Linked DNA regions of Pelodiscus sinensis. The main gene of each other region encodes a partner of the protein of the gene in region 2 in a complex. Links are inferred from orthologs where the notes say so. Each region holds a gene or a part of one and is shown on either strand. Other genes may lie near its edges.

The links. Proteins that work in one complex are often made in the same cells at the same time.
Region 1: the proteins of KCNQ1 (region 2) and KCNE3 are in contact, whole or in part, in a cryo-EM structure (PDB 6V01), measured with the Homo sapiens proteins. The link is inferred for Pelodiscus sinensis from reciprocal best matches to the Homo sapiens genes KCNQ1 and KCNE3. Residues at the interface, in NP_000209.2 of Homo sapiens: Arg116, Pro117, Thr118, Gly119, Trp120, Cys122, Phe123, His126, Phe127, Phe130, Leu134, Leu137, Ile138, Val141, Leu142, Ile145, Gln147, Tyr148, Arg181, Met238, Val241, Asp242, Gln244, Thr247, Lys362, Asn365, Ile368; in NP_005463.1 of Homo sapiens: Asp54, Asp55, Asn56, Ser57, Tyr58, Ile61, Met65, Phe68, Ala69, Val72, Gly73, Leu75, Ile76, Leu77, Tyr79, Thr80, Arg81, Ser82, Arg83, Val85, Lys87, Asp90.

The regions. Positions count from the first base shown.
Region 1 is NC_134711.1:322,493,812-322,497,629, reverse strand, and holds the start of KCNE3 (potassium voltage-gated channel subfamily E member 3), read left to right. Parts: upstream 1-1,482; 5' UTR 1,483-1,692; intron 1,693-3,818. UniProt on the Homo sapiens protein: Ancillary protein that functions as a regulatory subunit of the voltage-gated potassium (Kv) channel complex composed of pore-forming and potassium-conducting alpha subunits and of regulatory beta subunits.
Region 2 is NC_134714.1:115,475,630-115,479,229, forward strand, and holds the start of KCNQ1 (potassium voltage-gated channel subfamily KQT member 1), read right to left. Parts: upstream 2,518-3,600; 5' UTR 2,380-2,517; coding exon 1,964-2,379; intron 1-1,963. UniProt on the Homo sapiens protein: Pore-forming subunit of the voltage-gated potassium (Kv) channel involved in the regulation of cardiomyocyte excitability and important in normal development and functions of myocardium, inner ear, stomach and colon.

The sequences.
Region 1 (3,818 bases), on a different chromosome or scaffold from region 2:
TCACTGTTGCACCCACTGGTGGCATTTGCCCCAAATTCTGTTCATATCACAAAGTTCTGAATAAAGACATTGGTGGGATGGTACGCTACATTCCACGTCCTAATGACATAAAAAAACCAAACAATGGATACTTAAGAACAATTTCCAACTTCTCTATCAGCTTCATGTAGCATGGAGATTCTAATAGACTATTTCTTTCCTTTTTTTTTCTTTCTCTTCTCCCCATCCCTTATTTATTTTGAAACTGGATCTTTAATAACTCCATTCACCTGAAGAAGTGGGTTGTGCCCGCAAAAGCTCACAATACCATCTACATGTTTTGTTAGTCTATAAGGTGCTGCAAGAATATTTGTTTTTTAAATTTTTCCAGTTACAGACTAACTCCGTTACCCCCTGAAGCTTTTGAATTTACTGTGTTAGTCGACAGGATCTTCGTTTAAAATTTGCTTTAAAACTATGTCATTCGTGTGTTGCTGAAGATTATAAAATCGCATCTCTAAAAAATCGCTCCTACCTCAGCTGATGTTGGGCATAGAGGCACTAGTTTAATACTGCTGAGTAGGGCCCCATAAATCCTAATGATAGCCTTGCCACCTGGGTCCTTCTTCTCTATAAGAAGGAGTGAAACCATTGCTGAGTTGTCGCACCTCTTCCTGCTAAGGACTACACATCCTCACCAACCATCCCTCCTTACTCACCACAGCAAGCAATCTCACAGAATCACCTGGGACACTATAGTCTCCAAAGCTTCTCCTACCTTGCTCACCACTGTGCTAGCTGAGCACCTTCCCATAGCAAGGCAAGTAGCATCTGGAGTGGGCTGTAAATTCTCTCCTCTTCTTTCCCTGCCAACAGCACTCGTGCAGCATGGCTCCCACAGGCAGCTCTCAACCCAGACCGACCAGGGTTAAGGAGATCTGGGGGACATGGAACAAAGCCCAGGAGCACAGGGGCAGGCTGCCCAGCCGCTGCCTCTGCTCTCTGGGGAATCACACTTCCAGCTGCACAAGGGGCTTTCATTTCATTCAAGAGCAACTGGTGTCACAGAGCCCTCTAGGTCAGAGGGCAGCAAAGCTGGAGGCAGCGGCAGGGGGTGCTCTGGCTTGGGGAAGAGGAACAGGAAAGACTCAGAGTACAGAAGGGGGAAATGCTGGGCCAGCCCTTTCAGCTCCTCCTGACTTCCCTTAGACGGTTGCATCCGTGGGAGTGATGACTCTGGCCAAGCTGGGGCTGGGGCTGGGGGCATAGGGATGTGACCTGGGAGAGGGGACCCCAAGCCTGGGAGATGTGAGAGGGGGTTGGGACCCCTTACCTAGGGGATACGGTAGGGAGCCAGGAGCGGGGATCCCAAGCCTGGGGGACCTGGCAGGGGGCCGGGACCCCTCACCCCGGGACACGTGGCAGGGACCCTGGGCCCGGGTGTGTGGGGTGCCCCTAGGGCTGAGGGTCCCGGGGGGGGGCAGAAACTCGTGGCCCGAGGCTGGCGGGGCGGCGCTGCGGCCGAGGCTGGCGGGAGGCGATGGGGGGCAGCAGCAGGTGGCCCTGCCCCGGGACGCTGCGCTCCCTCCCAGCGGCGGGGGCGGGGCGGGGGCCGGGGCAGCCGCTCCCAGCGCGGCCCCCACGTGCTGCAGCCGGGCGAGTGCGGGCGGCCGGGGCCGGGAGAGCAGGACGGGCTGGAAGGCGCCGCGAGAGGTACCCCGGGATCCCCGTGTCTTCTCTAGGGAGCCTTTGCGACCCCCGAGCCTCCCCCACCCCGGGGGCTCCCACACCCTCCCCCCACGGAGCCCCCGCGCCTCGCTCCCGGGACCCCTGAACTCCTCCCCACGGAGCCCCTGCCCCGGAGACCCTTTGAGCCTGCCCTGGGATCCCCAGAGCCTTCCCTAGGGAGCCCCTGCCCTGGGGATCCCTGAGCTCCCTGATCCCCTACCCCAGCCACCCTGAACCTCCTAATCACTTTCCCTAGGGATCCACGGCCCCCTGCTCTGGGGACCCCCCAAACCGTCCCAGGACTCCTCCATCCTGTGCCATAGGACCCCCCTGAACCTCTATTCACCTTTCACCCCACTCCCTGCGCCAGAGAATCGCTTGATTTTCCCTCCAGCCCCGCACCTTCCCCAGAACACCACAATCCCATGTCCCTGGGGACTCCCTTGCCCTCCTGCACCTTTCGCCAAGGAGCCCTTACTCACCCTTCATCCACTCCCTACCCCCATCCCCAAATCCTCCCAAGCTCCCACCCCACAGCCCTGTGCCCCAGCCCCATTGTCCTTTTGCTGAAGGAGGTGCTGGGGGTTCAGGAAGAACCAGACTGCTCCGGGGTGACATGTACCTGCTACTATGAGTTATGGGAGGGAGGTGGAGGGGAGGTTGTCATAACTGGCAGGTTCTGGCCCTGTGTGTGTTGTGGAGAGTGCCTCTGCTTTGGACCTGGGGTGATGCAAAGCCAGAGTGAGTGTCGGTGACATTGACACTGGGGCAAGGAACGTGTCCTGACAAAAGTCCCTCTTCAGGCGCTTCATTTCTTTACAGAAAGTTTTAACCTTTGGGCTAAAAATATTGTCGGCTCCTGAAATCTGAGCGTCCTCTTGAGAGAGCCTGGGAAAGCCTTTTTGATCCACCCTTGTATTAGCAGGGAGAGGGGAGGTAGTTTTTCCTCAGGTGAGAGAAAACTTTAGGTGAGTAGGCACTGCTAAGTTTGAAGTAGAGGTGGGAATTGGTTGAATAATTATTAGTTATCTCTTGAATGTCTTGTCTAAAGGGTATGCAGGACTGCCCTCTACTGGATGGAGTGAGAACCCTTCAATTGTGTCAAGCTTTATGTTGCTAATATCATGGAGATTCTCCTTTAAGCACTTTGGGGGCAGCGACTGTTTTATTCTGTGTCTATACGGTGCCTAGCGCAATGATGTCCTGGTCTATGATTAGAGTCCCTGGGCACCATCATGTACAAATACTAATACAACGTGATGTGGGCTAATGATTGGGGAGCAGGGGGATCGGGACTTTCACCTGTCCCTGGGGAGTTCTAAGTGGCTACGGTGTGCAGCGTCATAGGAACTGGGAAGCCCTGGGTGACTATGGCTTAGTTACAGGAGATGGGAATCCTATATGGGGCATATGTAACTTGAACCAGCATGAGCCAACCAGCTTTGTTACAAGGGACCTCCAGTGACAAAACCATATAAGCCTCTAACAACAAAATAAAGCTTGAAAGCCCTTAGGGCAGGAGTCTCAAACCCATGGCCCATGCATCAGCCTGAGTAGTTCCATAAGCCAGTGCAGCGACCGAAACACTAGGTAGCAATTCCTGAGAAGTTGTACCAAATGTCATGTATGTATGACAGAAACTGTGACGGTCACAAAAACGGAGAGGTTTCACTTTTTGCCTATACACTGGCCCATGCAGCTGCTGGCACGTGAGTCTCTGCAGCCCTGGGGAGGGGAGGTATTCACACCCTTTCCCTGAGCTCAGCCCCTGCTCTGTCCTGTCCCACTCCTGCTCTGCCCTCTTGCCCCCTGCATTGTACCCTTTCCACCAACCCCCGCAAGGGATGCAGTCTTGGGGATTATCAGGAGTTGAGCAACTCCTCCCTCCACACTCACTGTAGGGGCAGGAGCCATGGTGAAGCGGGGAGACCCGACTGGCCTGGGAGATGGCAGCGGAGCAGAGCAGGTTGCTGCATTGCTCTGCTTTCCTGCAGCTCCTGCCGTTGCAGGAACTGCAGGGAGGCAGCTGACTCCTCCTGCTAGCCGCAGCCCGCCCAGGGCCCTGAGGACTAATCTGAGTATGGGGAACTGTCCTGTCCGTAGGACAATTG
Region 2 (3,600 bases):
CACAAGAGTTCTTGTGCAAAAGTACTTGCGCAAGAGCACATCCACACTGCCAAGTGCTTTTGCACAGGAGCATCCACGCATCCATGGCAGTGTGATGCTCTCTTGCACAAGAAAGCTCTGATGGCTATTTTAGCCACAGGGCTTTCTTGCGCAAGAAACTCCTTGCCCATCCACACTGCCTTCTTGCGCAAGAACTCTTGCGCAAGAGGGCTTATTCCTCATGGAGAGAGGAATAACTCTTGTGCAAGAAGCCCTCTTTTCCGACGCTTTACTGTAAATTTACTTGAGCAAGAACACGTGTGCAGTGTAGATGCTACACAAGTTTTTGCACAAGAACAGTTGTTCTTGCGCAAAAAGCCTACAGTGTAGACGTAGCCTAGGAGTAATGGCACCATTATAAGCTAGGGAAAATGTCACGAATGACTGTCTCCATAATAGACTCAGGCCAGGTAAAGCTACCATTTCCATCCACTACATCATCTGTCTTCCTTTAGAGGGGCTGCAGCAGCAGAATAATTACAATACCTAATGTGAAGGGGATGGCGAAAGAAATAATATACTGTTACTGAATAATTCAGAATAAATTATTTAAAAGCCTGATTTGCATCAAAGAATGAACCATTAAGCATTTAAGATGTAACCTACTTTATCTCTTTCTATATCAACAAGAAGAAATAATTTGTGTCAGCCATAAAAAGAACACCTCGTTATGAAAGGCACCTGATGCTATTTTCTTATTCTAAGAAATATGTAAGGCATCTTCAATTCTTGGATTTTATTTTTTTTAAGGCCCACTATGACATAACTATAGGGCTGTTTTGGACTTTTTATGCACAATCTGGAATGAGATGCCTATGGGCAAAAGTTTGATGTTTAAAGCTTGTTATGCCTACCAGAAAACCAGAAGACAAGTATTGCAATACTTCATAACTAAAGAAATTCAGTCAAACTCCTGCCAATCTGTAGGTCCTAGGGAAAGAGGTAAAGGCCATATAAAGTGAGGAAGTGGGTTAACAAGCTAGACTTTCAAAACAGGTGCTATTATTGCTCAGTTCAGTCATTACAAAGATGTTTGATGCAATCTTTATAGGTACTAAGGGCCCAATCACTTGAACCAGATTCTGGCACATTACCTACACTGACATTTTCCTTCTCCTCCCTCTGTGGGCCATAAGTCAATTAACAGTCCTGGGGATTTCTGTGGGAGTACTTGCAGAGTAGAGCACTATCCAGTGTGAGAAAGGGTAACAGAATCAGCCCAGAATAATTTCTCAAACAAGCATTAACAGATAGATTAAACTGCCCTGCGAAGAACAAAATTTATTTGCTCTGGTAACATGGCTAGCATAAGGAGTTCTCAATACTTCATGCCTTGCTCACCACCTTGCTCAAGAACAGTAATGAATGAATGGAACATGCATAGGTCAAATACATTCATTAAAAATAGATACAGGCCAGACTAGATAAGATTTACATTTACTTGACTAGGCAGATTTTGTTTAGAAAACCTAAAATGAAAGTAGTGTAGAATCTCCGCAGGACCCACATCTGTGCACATGCACACCTGACCCAGCAAAATACATTTTTGCTCTGACCAGGGAGCGCAACAACAAACTATTAATAAAACTGGGGATGTGAAATGTACCACAGGCTGCTTTGTAAGTCGGTCTGCTGGAGTTTGAAAGACAGCAGGTTAGCTCAGTGCAGTGTGTCCTTTCCAAGAAAAAGTCAGAGCTTTCCTTCCACAGCTGACTGTAATCACCATGCCAAAGCCTAGGAAGCAGGCTGCCCTTGCTCTCCACCCCGCCACCCCCACTTTGCCAAAGTGGTGCCCATGATGGCAGCAGCAGCATTTGACCGCGAGCAGCGGCCAGAAGGACATCAGAGGGCGGGCTGCAGGACCCGGTGCTGATCGCCCCGCCAGGGCACGGTGGCCCCATGGGGTGCGCAGCGGACTACTCACACAGTGAAGTGATACACGAAGCACTTCCAGCCGGTGGGTCTCTCTAGGAAGTTATAGACCCTGCCTTGGATGTGGGTCCTGCTCAGCAGCGGGCGGCGAATGCTGTAGATGGAGACCCGAGGGTCCGGGCTGATGTGGGGCCGGGGGCAGTCCGTGTCCGTGTTCACCACCACCATCTCGCTCTTGAACGGCGGCTCGCCCCGATCCGCGTCCCGATCCGGCTCCGCGGGCGGGCTGGCATCCGGCTGCCTCGGCTCCTGGACCGCGGCCATCGGGGCGTAGTGGGCATGGGGGGTGTTTTCGGCCAGCTCCAGGGCGGAGGGCTTCTTGCTGGGAGTCATGCTGCCTTTCCGGGACGCAGGCAGCCGCCCCAAGCTCCAGCGTCTCTTCTCAGACTTGGGGGAGGCGGAGGTCATGACCGGAGGGGGAGGGAGGCGTGTGCGCGGGGAAGGAGGCGGCGGGGCAAGCCGCCGCAGGGCAGGGCAGGGCGGGATGCAGCCCCGGCGCTGCCCCGGGGAAGGAAGGCGGGAGGGACAGCCAGCCCACCGCTGGGGAGTCTCGCACGCTCCCTCCCCCGCTCCCGGAGCGCCTAGCCCGGCCCACCCCGAGGGACGGCCCCGCCGTGAAAGGTACGAGGTCTCCGCCTCCCTGCCACCCGACCCGAGGGAGGCTGCGAGCCCGGGTGGCAGCGGGAGCTGCCTGGCCCCCGGCCATTCCCCTCAGCCGCTGCGCGAGCTGCTCCGGCCGCCGGGTGGCGGCCAAGCCCGCGCCGGGCTTGCTGGGGGCTGCGCCTTTCCCCTCCCCCTTGTCAGAGCCAGTGTCAAGTCAACCCCATAGGCGCTGCCCGTTCGGGGGCTGGGACAGACAGTGCCCCGCAACATGTGGGAGGCTCCCTGCTGTGGGGCCTGGGCTGGGACAGACAGTGCCCCACAATGTGCGGGTGGCATGGCTGGCTCCTTACCATGGGGTCGGGGCTGGGACAGACAGTGCCCCACAATGCGAGGGTGGCATGGCTGGCTCCTTACCATGGGGTCGGGGCTGGGACAGACAGTGCCCCACAATGCGAGGGTGGCATGGCTGGCTCCTTACCATGGGGTCGGGGCTGGGACAGACAGTGCCCCACAATGCGAGGGTGGCATGGCTGGCTCCTTACCATGGGGTCGGGGCTGGGACAGACAGTGCCCCACAATGCGCGGGTGGCATGGCTGGCTCCTTACCATGGGGTCGGGGCTGGGACAGACAGTGCCCCACAATGCGAGGGTGGCATGGCTGGCTCCTTACCATGGGGTCGGGGCTGGGACAGACAGTGCCCCACAATGGGCGGTGGCATGGCTGGCTCCGTACCATGAGGCCGGGGATGGGACAAACAGTGCACCACAATGGACGGGTGGCATGGCTGGCTCCATACCATGAGGCCGGGGATGGGACAGACAGTGCCCCACAATGCGCGGGTGGCATGGCTGTCTCCGTGCCATGGGGCCGGGGCTGGGACAGACAATGCCCCACAATGCGCGGGTGGCATCGCTGGCTCCCTGAAGAGGGCCCAGGATGCTGCCTTAGGATGGGACCAGATCTGGGTGGCACCTCTGAGCAATACATAAGCCCTGGAAAGGGAAACGAAAGAAGCACCCCTGTCT